3 linked regions of the Macaca fascicularis genome follow. The protein of the gene in region 2 purifies or fractionates together with the protein of the main gene of each other region. This does not show direct contact. Links are inferred from orthologs where the notes say so. Each region holds a gene or a part of one and is shown on either strand. Other genes may lie near its edges.

The links. Proteins that work in one complex are often made in the same cells at the same time.
Region 1: the proteins of RAF1 (region 2) and BAG2 purify together in Homo sapiens (co-immunoprecipitation; 3 studies listed by BioGRID and IntAct, with this or other methods). This does not show direct contact. The link is inferred for Macaca fascicularis from reciprocal best matches to the Homo sapiens genes RAF1 and BAG2.
Region 3: the proteins of RAF1 (region 2) and TIMM50 purify together in Homo sapiens (affinity purification with mass spectrometry; 4 studies listed by BioGRID and IntAct, with this or other methods). This does not show direct contact. The link is inferred for Macaca fascicularis from reciprocal best matches to the Homo sapiens genes RAF1 and TIMM50.

The regions. Positions count from the first base shown.
Region 1 is NC_088378.1:114,539,054-114,542,690, reverse strand, and holds part of BAG2 (BAG family molecular chaperone regulator 2), read left to right. Parts: intron 1-3,273; coding exon 3,274-3,383; intron 3,384-3,637. UniProt on the Homo sapiens protein: Co-chaperone for HSP70 and HSC70 chaperone proteins. Acts as a nucleotide-exchange factor (NEF) promoting the release of ADP from the HSP70 and HSC70 proteins thereby triggering client/substrate protein release.
Region 2 is NC_088376.1:150,866,342-150,869,805, reverse strand, and holds the end of RAF1 (RAF proto-oncogene serine/threonine-protein kinase), read left to right. Parts: intron 1-772; coding exon 773-891; intron 892-1,320; coding exon 1,321-1,452; intron 1,453-1,592; coding exon 1,593-1,727; intron 1,728-1,917; coding exon 1,918-2,061; 3' UTR 2,062-2,952; downstream 2,953-3,464. UniProt on the Homo sapiens protein: Serine/threonine-protein kinase that acts as a regulatory link between the membrane-associated Ras GTPases and the MAPK/ERK cascade, and this critical regulatory link functions as a switch determining cell fate decisions including proliferation, differentiation, apoptosis, survival and oncogenic transformation.
Region 3 is NC_088393.1:46,569,154-46,572,790, forward strand, and holds the end of TIMM50 (mitochondrial import inner membrane translocase subunit TIM50), read left to right. Parts: intron 1-1,290; coding exon 1,291-1,447; intron 1,448-1,768; coding exon 1,769-1,875; intron 1,876-2,952; coding exon 2,953-3,054; 3' UTR 3,055-3,325; downstream 3,326-3,637. UniProt on the Homo sapiens protein: Essential component of the TIM23 complex, a complex that mediates the translocation of transit peptide-containing proteins across the mitochondrial inner membrane. Has some phosphatase activity in vitro; however such activity may not be relevant in vivo.

The sequences.
Region 1 (3,637 bases), on a different chromosome or scaffold from region 2:
ATAAAATCTGGTTTTCACAGGGATAATGCCCTGGTAATTTCTATTATGTATTTTAAAAAGCCTTGTGGGGTTGGGGGGGGTCCCAAAAACACAAAATTTAGCAGTTCCATCTAATTATTTGGTGTCATTTAATGATAAAATATTTTTTCATATGAATGATAGGCTTATTATTTTTTTCTAGAATGTCTTTTTTTATCTATTTTGTTAAGAACATGAACTTATTGCTGTAACTCGTAAATGAAACCTTCCTTTTCAGAATAGTGTTGTTCTCTCTTATCATCTTACAATTGAATACCAGCCGAAGAAGTGTTGAAAAATTAATCTCTTCTTTCAGCATCTTCTCATTTACCAATCAAATGATTCACCTGTGTCATTTGTCTAAATATTGGAGTCATGGTTTGTGCTTTTAGCATAAATATTTAGTGCCAACTCAGTCTCTTTCCTATGTTCTGGGCCCTAGTTTATCTTTCTGAGAGATTGCTAATGTAAAATGTTTAAGTAAATAGTGAATGGTCCTGGAATAGGGCCTGATACTTGCATTACTGTTACTTTGTAGAATATTGTATTTTGATTGTGTTCTCTAGCCAAATTTGTCACATGAGATTCTTCCCAGTTCTTTGCTTTTAGTGGCTCTTATAAACACAGACTTTGACATATATTTAATATCTTGAAGAATAAAGATATCCTGTGATGTTACAGCCTGTCAGTACTATTTTGGGGTATAACAGGTGGGTAACCGAAGGGGAAAAGGCACGTGTGTGCTTGGGGTAGGGGGAAGATCCTTTTATGGAATTGAACATGCTAAAACATTGGTGAAGTTGTTCTTTCTGTGCACACTTAAGACAGCAGTTAGGATTAGATCTCTAATCCTAATGAACTTCTAAGACCATCCAAATACTGGGAATAGGTCTGTCACTATTTCATTTTGCAAAAGTTGGCAACTTACTGTAATTCATAATAATAAGGTACCCTGGAAGTATACAACATGTTAAATATACAATATGTATATTTTTATTTTGCTCTCATGATTCCCCAGCTTAGTTTTTTAGTGACTGGGCACAATTATGTGTATGTATAGTGTGAGTGCATGTGTGTGCAGTTGAGTGAAGTGGGGAAAGTAGCGCTTCTATAGTTTGATGAGGGTTTTACACAAAAAAGCCACAGAGACTTTCCCTTAAATTTGGGAAAAGACAAAGATACCCCCATCATTGCCACTGTTTAATACAGTACTGAAGGACCTTTTCTTAAAAAAAAAAAAGTAATAGAAAAGTAATAGGATTGGGAAGGAGGAAATAAAAACTATGGATGATATGGATATGATCATTTACCTAGAAGAACCAACAGAATCAACAGACTGAACACTAAAATGAATACATGTAAATCAAGGTCGCCAGTGACAAGATAAACCTACAAAGACAACACTTCTCAAACCAGTAAAAATCAACTAGAAAATACAAATTCACAAGAGCAACAATATCTACAAAGACTACTATGAAGAATACATGAGAACTCTATAGAAGATCTGAATAAATGAAGAGACATATATCATGCCCTTAAACAGAATGACGTTATAAAGATGTCGAATTTCTCTCATTTTTTGAGAAACACAATAAACGTACCCTAGAATTTATATGGAGAAGTAAAAGTCCATAAATAGCTAAGTTATCTTTAAAGAAGATTGAGGGGCATGTTCTATCAAATATTAAAGTATAGTACAAGGCTAGTGCTATAAACAAACAAAACAAAACTGGGCACTAGTATAAGAACAGTTAAATACACTAATGCATGGGATAGAGATTTTAGAGAGAAACTTAATACGCATTCGCTAGGGGAAAGATGGATTGTTTGGTAAATAATGTTGGGGAAAATGGCTATTTGAAAAAAAACAACATTCTTAACTAACTACATACAAGGGTTGATTCTAGGTGGATTAAAGACATAAGGAAGGTAGAACTATAAAGTTAATAAGAGAAAATATAGGAAAATATGACCAAGGGGTAGGGGGAAGACCTTAGGTCAAAACTTCAAAAGCATAAGCTATAAGGCAAAAAAAAAAAAAAAAAAAAGATGAATTGGATCACATCAAAATAAGAGTCTCTCTTTAGTGCCAGACATCCCAGACGTGGTTCATATAAGAGAGGATGAGAGATGGCTGCAATGTCTGTAACCAACAAGAATTTCTTGAGTATACAAATCAGCAAGGGGACAGTAACTCCTGTTTAAAAATAGAAAAACAAAATAGGAAAAGTCTATGAATAGGCTAACAAGGATACAAAGAGATGTCTGAAATTATTAGGAAAACGCAGGTTAACCTGACATACTTCTACTACACTGGCAGCAAATAGAAAGTTGGCAAATGCGGAGTGTTGGTAGGGATATGGGGACTCCTGTGCTTTGCTGTGGAGAATGGACAGGTACAGGTATTCTGCAGAATAATCATAGTACTAAGTCAAAAGCGGAGTACACATACCCTTTATCTCAGCAATTCTGTCCTGGTATATGTCCTAAGGAAATCCTCACCAAGATCCAAAGGGGAGATGTATTCATAGAAGTGTTATTTGTAGTAATAAGAAGTTGGTAGACAACCTGAGTGTCCATCTCTGGGAGAGTGGAGAAGGAAAAGCAGGTAGGTATACACATGGAGTATTATAAAATATGTAGCACCAACTGATTAAAAGTACACATAGGGGGCTGGGTGTGATGGCTCACACCTGTAATTCCAGCACTTTGGGAGGCTGCGGTGGGCAGATCACTTGAGGCCAGCAGTTTGAGACCAGCCTGGCCAACATGGCGAAACCCCGTCTCTACTAAAATTACAAAAATTAGCTGGGCCCGGAGGCTGAGGCATGAGAATCAGTTGAACGCGGGAGGTAGAAGTTGCAGTGAGATCGTGCCACTGTGCTCCAGCCTGGGGGACAAAGCAAGACTGTCTCCAAAAAAAAAAAAAAAAGTACACATAGGATCCTGGATGCTAAGTGAAAAAATAAAAACAGAATGAGATATAAATTCAAAATATACAAATAATACAGATCTTGTAAAAACAAATACTATTAATTAGATAAACACTAAATAGAATTGCCTCATGAGCTGGAAGGAAAATAGGAGAAAGGCAAGTGGATAAAAAATAGAAAAATGAAAGAATTTTAAAGCAGAAATGAAGAAGTTTTGAAAAGTTTGGTGATCTTTAAACTTGATTTGGGTTGAATGAGAGATAAAATTAATAGGAAGAACATCCTGCATACAATAACCGTTTTGTTTTCCCAATTTCTATAGGGTTGAAGCTTTGAGAGAAGCAGCAACTGCTGTTGAGCAAGAGAAAGAAATCCTTCTGGAAATGATCCACAGTATCCAAAATAGCCAGGACATGAGGCAGATCAGTGACGGTGAGAGCCATCTCCACAGAAGGGGCTCGTCTTTTACACTCCTTTAAAGAGTTTATGATAAGTGTGGGTCAATTTTTGCTTGACTTTCGGTATGCGTATACTAGGCCACAGCATTTAATGTGAGCCACAGAGAGCAGCTGCAGCTGTCAGTTTATTATAGCAGCCACTTACTCAGAGATTTCTTCCAGCATGCTCTCTACCCCAAGCCATGGCTGGGAGAGATAGGAAAAAGCCTGCAAGCTCAGAAGAGCTGG
Region 2 (3,464 bases):
AGGTACATGTCTGAGGTGTGGAACACCTTTCAATGGTGGGCTTTTTAGCAGCCAAACATTATACCATGAAAGCAGACATCACAGATTTAAGGTGTGAATTCCTGGGCACCAACAGATCACAAGTTACTTTGTATGTGTTTTTTTTTTCTGTTTTTAAATTTTTTTTCCCCTCACAAGTTAGACTTAAACTGTATGACTTCTTTACCCAGAAGCGAGCTGACTTCGGTTCTCATTTTGAAGTCACCAAGTGGTACCAATTCTAGTGAGGAATTTCTTATGACAACATTGAACACTCAGTAAGGGATGTGCTATTTTGTTAACCACTCAAGTTTCAGATGGTGATTTGAGGGTGGAATACAGGCAGAAACGACTGTAAGCTGTCAGCAGGCCATGCTTGGCCCTCTGGGGAGCACTGGAGTGTGGCCTCTGCTCATCGTGTTAGGGTTTCAAGCACCTGTATTATGTGGAAAGGTCACAAGGCCAGGGACCCAGCACCTAGACGTGCAAATGGGGAGAAGCAGCAGAGAAGAAACGCTGGCTTGCTTTTGGCTTGGGCCAAATAATCTGGCACATTGACCAATCCCTGCCTGTCTTCTGGAAGAAGGGGCATTTCAAAAGCACTTTAAAGAACTTCAGAAACCTTAGGAAATTCAGTGCAGAGGCTGTGACAGAGGGAAGGTGGAGAGATTACCATGTTATAAAGAACTTTGGGATGTTTTTCAAAATTAACTTGACCATTCTTTTGAAACCAGAGTCCTTAACAAGCATTGAGATATATTTCTCCATGAAGGCCTAACAGTGAAAATTGGAGATTTTGGTTTGGCAACAGTAAAGTCACGCTGGAGTGGTTCTCAGCAGGTTGAACAACCTACTGGCTCTGTCCTGTGGATGGTGAGAATCTGGGCTCCCACCAGCAGTCTCTGGTACAGGGCAAAGGGAATGCCCTGGGGATTTATGTGCAAACTTTTAAAGCGTTTCTGTACATTTCCCCGAAATCCACATGACCCCTAGTGACAGCCAGCCTCAGGGCAATTGTAGATTTTCTTGAGGAAGCTGTTGATCAGAACCACTGTGAAGCTTAGTGTGGAGAGGAGATAATAAGCTGGGTGATAGAAGTGCTGGGTGTTGGTCCTTTAAAGACAAGGATTCCTGAGCTGTTTTACCCAGTGCCTGAATTGGAGTCCTTTAGGGGAAAAACTATGTGGGGACTGAAGAATGGACTCATTCATAACTAATGAAAGGGACAGCCTGGGTCCTAGATGTCTGTAAGGTCTGTCATATGGTGATAAATGCACTTTTGTCATATGGTGATAAATGTAGGCCCCAGAGGTGATCCGAATGCAGGATAACAACCCATTCAGTTTCCAGTCAGATGTCTACTCCTATGGCATCGTATTGTATGAGCTGATGACGGGGGAACTTCCTTACTCTCACATCAACAACCGAGATCAGGTGAGTCTGTGCTGGTGCTAAAGGTCCTAACGCGTGGGAGCCCTTGGGCCTCTCCCAGCCTAGGCAGCTAGAGGGTTAGGACTTGATATTTTCTGTAGTTCATTTACCCCCCATTCGCTCAGCTGTTTTCTTTCCCTTAGATCATCTTCATGGTGGGCCGAGGGTATGCCTCCCCAGATCTTAGTAAGCTATATAAGAACTGCCCCAAAGCAATGAAGAGGCTGGTAGCTGACTGTGTGAAGAAAGTAAAGGAAGAGAGGCCTCTTTTTCCCCAGGTAAGGCTCAGGGCTGCTAGAATGGTGATTAAAGCATGGATTGGTTCTTAAAGATGGCAATGTAAGGTGGGAGTATTTTGTTTTGTTTTATAGGGAGGGGACCCAGATCCTCTACAAGATGGTTGGGGGCAGGGTACAGCCTGTGTCTTTGAGACACAGCTAATGAGAGCATTCTGGGGCTTTGTTTCAGATCCTGTCTTCCATTGAGCTGCTCCAACACTCTCTACCGAAGATCAACCGGAGCGCTTCCGAGCCATCCTTGCATCGGGCAGCCCACACTGAGGATATCAATGCTTGCACGCTGACCACATCCCCGAGGCTGCCTGTCTTCTAGTTGACTTTGCACCTGCCCTCAGGCTGCCAGGGGAGGAAGAGAAGCCAGCAGGCACCACTTTTCTGCTCCCTTTCTCCAGAGGCAGAACACATGTTTTCAGAGAAGCTGCTGCTAAGGACCTTCTAGACTGCTCACAGGGCCTTAACTTCATGTTGCCTTCTTTTCTATTCCTTTGGGCCCTGGGAGAAGGAAGCCATTTGCAGTGCTGGTGCGTCCTGCTCCCTCCCCGCATCCCCCATGCTCAAGGCCCAGCCTTCTCTAGATGCGCAAGTGGATGTTGATGGTAGTACAAAAAGCAGGGGCCCAGCCGTTGGCTACATGAGTATTTTGAGGAAGTAAGGTAGCAGGCAGTCCAGCCCTGATGTGGAGACACATGGGATTTTGGAAATCGGCTTCTGGAGGAATGCATGTCACAGGTGAGACTTTCTTCAGAGAGTGGTGCAGCGCCAGACGTTTTGCACATAAGGCACCAAACAGCCCAGGACTGCCGAGACTCTGGCCGCCCGAAGGAGCCTGCTTTGGTACTATGGAACTTTTCTTAGGGGACACATCCTCCTTTCACAGCTTCTAAGGTGTCCAGTGCATTGGGATGGTTTTCCAGGCAAGGCACTCAGCCAGTCCCCATCTCGGCCCTCAGGGAGCAGTCTTCCATCATGCTGAATTTTGTCTTCCAGGAGCTGCCCCTATGGGGCGGGGCCGCAGGGCCAGCCTTGTTTCTCTAACAGCCTTGTTTCTCTAGTCACATCATGTGTATACAAGGAAGCCAGGAATACAGGTTTTCTTGATGATTTGGGTTTTAATTTTGTTTTTATTGCACCTGACAAAATACAGTTATCTGATGGTCCCTCAATTTTATGTTATTTTAATAAAATAAATTAAATTTAGGTGTAATGGCTGTTACCTCCTTTTAAAGTAATTCTGAGCTCACAATTTGAACGTCCCATTTGTTCACCCTCTTCAGGAGCAGAATTCAAGAACAGGAAATGTGCCCAGAGCCTAGGCTGGGAATGAATTTGTAATTTAACCTTTGTACTCTTTGTAACCCTCTACTGAAGAAGAGTTAAGTATAAAAATTAAGCAGAAAGTATTCTAAACTCAGCTAATAGGTTAAGTAATGCGTTCTATAAAATATTTGGTAGCTACAGCTTAAAAAAAAAAAAACACAGATAAATTCCAGCTTGGAATAAGCCAGTGCTAGTTCACAAGGTTGTGCTCACCCTTCAATTAAAATGACTACAAGACTTGCCATCAGCTCTCTTCAGGACCACTGCTGGGTCAGAATCAGAAACCTTGGGTGCCATGACATTTTTACAAAATTTCAAATCAAAGCCAGGCGTTGCAGATAATAGATGGCTTGAGTACGAACCACACATTATGTAAGTGCACGTATATTTTGAGTTCTC
Region 3 (3,637 bases), on a different chromosome or scaffold from region 2:
AATGGGCCTCTGTGGATCTGGCTCCAAGTGTCTGTGTGTCTGTTGGGTTTCTGTTTCTGTCTGTGTCCTGGGGAGGGGGGTCTGTGTTGTTCTTGGGAATTCAGAAATACATGGACTGTGATCGAGGGTCTTGAAGGGTCTGTGTCTGGGAGCCTGTCTTTGTGGTTCCCTGGGTATGGCTGCAGATCTGTCTGCACCTGTTTACTTGAGTGAGAGGTTCTTAAACCTGCAACATACCACAGTCACCTGGGCAGGGGTTTAACATGAGAGTGGCCGCCTCCCTCTCCAGGGAACTTCCTAATGGCCTCTCTGTGTGCTAGGCCCTGGGTCTAGGAGTCTGTGTGATTAGCTCCCCAACATCCTGGGGGTTGTTTTGTTTTTTGTTTCTGAGACAGGGTTTTGCTGCGTCACCCAGACTGGAGTGCAATGGTGTGAACACGGCTCACTGCAGTCTCAACCTTCTGGGCTCAAGTGGTCTTCCCACCTCAGCCTCCCGAGTAGCTGGGCCTATAGGCGCACACCACCACGCTTGGCTAATTTTTGTGTGTGTGCATGTGTGTGTGTGAGATGGAGTCTCGCTCTGTTGCCCAGGCTGGAGTTCAGTGGCGTGATCTTGGCTCACTGCAACCTCTCCCTCCCAGGTTCAAGTGATTCTCCTTCCTCAGCCTCCCGAGCAGCTGGGACTACAGGTGCACACCACCACGCCTGGCTAATTTTTTGTATTTTCAGTAGAGACAGAGTTTCGCCATGTTGCCCAAGCTGATTTTGAACTCCTGAGCTCAGGCAGTCCGCCCACCTTGGGCTCCCAAAATTCTGGGATTATAGGCGTGAGCCACCACACCCCGCCATTTTTTGTATCTAGTAGATATGGGGTTTCACCATTTTGGCCAGGCTGGTCTTGAACTCCTGACCTCAGGTGATCCGTCCGTCTTGGCCTCCCAAAGTGCTGGGATTACAGGCATGAGCCACTGCGCCTGGCCCATGCCCACCTAATTTTTAAATTTTTTGTAGAGATGAGATCTTGCTGTGTGGCCCAGGCTGGTCTAGAACTCCTGGGCTAAGTGATCCTCCTGCCTTGGCCTCCCAACGTGCTGGGATTACAGGCGTGAGCCGCCATGCCTGGTCCTCTGTGGGGGTCGATGCCATCATCCAAAGCTGGTCTTTGAGAGGCCCTGGCATTGTGATCCCAGTATGTGTGATGCTGTGTATGTATGTTTTGTGTGTTTTGGGTCTTCTTGATGGGGGGAGAGTTGGGCACAGATGTTGACCTGATCTGTCACTCACTTCCAGGACATTTCATGTCTGAATCGGGATCCAGCTCGAGTAGTAGTTGTGGACTGCAAGAAGGAAGCCTTCCGCCTACAGCCCTATAACGGCGTCGCCCTGCGGCCCTGGGACGGAAACTCTGATGACCGGGTCTTATTGGACCTGTCTGCCTTCCTTAAGAGTAAGGCCGACCCCTGATCCCTTGGCCTCTGACCCTAGAGCCCCTGATTCTGAAGAGGAAGGATAAATGCATTATTCGTGGCTGGGCGACTGAGGTGCAGGAGGTACCTGAGCACCTTGGAGTCTTTAGGAGCTTCTTAGGATGTTCATGGAATGTTCAGGGGATACCTGGGGATGTTCAAGGGAACCCTTTCAGAGTGTTTAGAAGCATTCCAGGTAGCACTGACCACCCCCCTGCCCCAGTGTGGGACCTTCCCCTCGTGGGCCCTGCCTGCCTCTGGCCTTCAGAAGCCTGGCTGACCACCCCCTGTTGTGCCCACAGCCATTGCACTGAACGGTGTGGAGGATGTGCGAACTGTGCTGGAGCACTACGCCCTGGAGGATGATCCGCTGGCAGCTTTCAAGCAGCGGCAAAGCCGGCTAGAGCAGGTTGGTGCTCAGATGCCCAGAGTGGAGGATCGGCTCTGAGGCTCCTGAATGAGGAGCCCAGAGCAGTCCAACTCCACACTCCTGGCTTGGCTGTGTGACCGTGAGCAGATACCTCCTCTCCACCTCAGTCTCTGTAACCAGGGGGACATAACACAGCCTGTCCTGTAGGACTGCCAGAATGAGGGGATGCATTGATTCTGCAGCCTGCTCTGAGAACAGGAGACAGGCAAGGCTTTGAGACTGGACTGGAAGAGGGGTTGCCCTTGATGGTCTTGAGTAGGTCTGGGGTCACCTTGTGGAGGTGGACTGTGGGTTTTAGATCAGGTCTGGAAAGAGGATCCCTGGGCACATGGCCCAAGGCTGTGGGGAGAGTTGTGATGGTCTTGGTGGGACCCTGGTAATTTGGAAGTGGGACTGAGAGTACGGATTGCATCTGGGCAAGATTCCCAGGGATCTAGGCTGAAGTTCACCAGATTCTAGGTTAGGTTCCTAGAGTTGGGAGTCCCTGAGTGCCCAGAGAAGAAGTCCCTAGAGATTTGGGCCTGGGGACCCCCCAGGGAACTCCCCCTGCCCACCACATTGAGACAGGGGTCATGGGGTGCAGGGGGCCAGGGGCAGGATGATGCAGTCTGATGAGGAGGGCTCTGGGGTTCGGACTTGGGATCTCACCAGCATTCACCTTGGGATAACAGGGTCTGAGATAGGATCTCAGGTTCAGGGGAGGGGTCCCTGGGATCTGGGGAAGGGGATTATGAGAGTTTGGGGCCTGAGAAGCTACTGCAGTTCAGGCCTAAATATCTCGAGTGCCTAGTATTGGAGTCTGGCATCCCCCAAACATTGAAGCCTAGGCTCCTGCGGCTCAGAGCTGGCTCTTCCCAGTGTCTGGGCTGGGGAGCTGAGGTCTAGGGTCCCTTGTGTCTGGGCTGGGGGCCCCAGGGTTTGGGGAAAGGGGTCTGGACTTGGCAGAAGTCAGGAGGAAAGGTGGTCCCTGGGCTGAGGCCTGGGGAGCTGGGCGTCTGGGAGGAGGCTCTGTCCTCCCTGGGCTGACCCGCTCCTCCATCTGTCTCCCGACCCCAGGAGGAGCAGCAGCGCCTGGCTGAGCTCTCCAAGTCCAACAAGCAGAACCTCTTCCTCGGCTCCCTCACCAGCCGCTTGTGGCCTCGCTCCAGACAGCCCTGAACTCTGGGCCTCCTCAAACTCAGTGCCGGAGTCCAGGGCCCCAGTGCTTCCAGACCAAGACTTGGGCCACCACTGTCCAATAAAGTACATCCCAGATGCCACACCTGCTGTGTCCCGAGAGTCTCCAGATGGGGGCACCGGGATGAGGTCCGGGACTTTCGGGTCACCATCCCACAGTGGCTGATCGGCTGCCAAGCACAGAGTGGGGGCTTTGTTGGATCAGAGCATATTTTTCACCCTGGTCTGGGAATGTAAAAACCCTCGCTGTGTCTTCCTGTGTGTTGTGTGATCTGTAAAAAATACATCTCCCTCTGACCACAGATTCCGCATGTGTGGAGAAGGGAAGAGAGGATGGCACTTGGCTTTAAAGACAGGTAGCTGCCATGCTGCTGTGGAGAGACTGTGTTATGGGCCCAGTGGGGCTCTGGTGGACCAGAGATCACCCCTCTCAACAGGCCAACTGCTGCTTGGCTCCAGCCAGTGTGGCCCTGGAGTAGAGGGGGCCTGGGGTTGCTTGACATGCCAGTTGTTGAAGCAAGAACTTGGGATTTTTTTTTTTTTTTTTTTTTTTTTGCGACAGGGT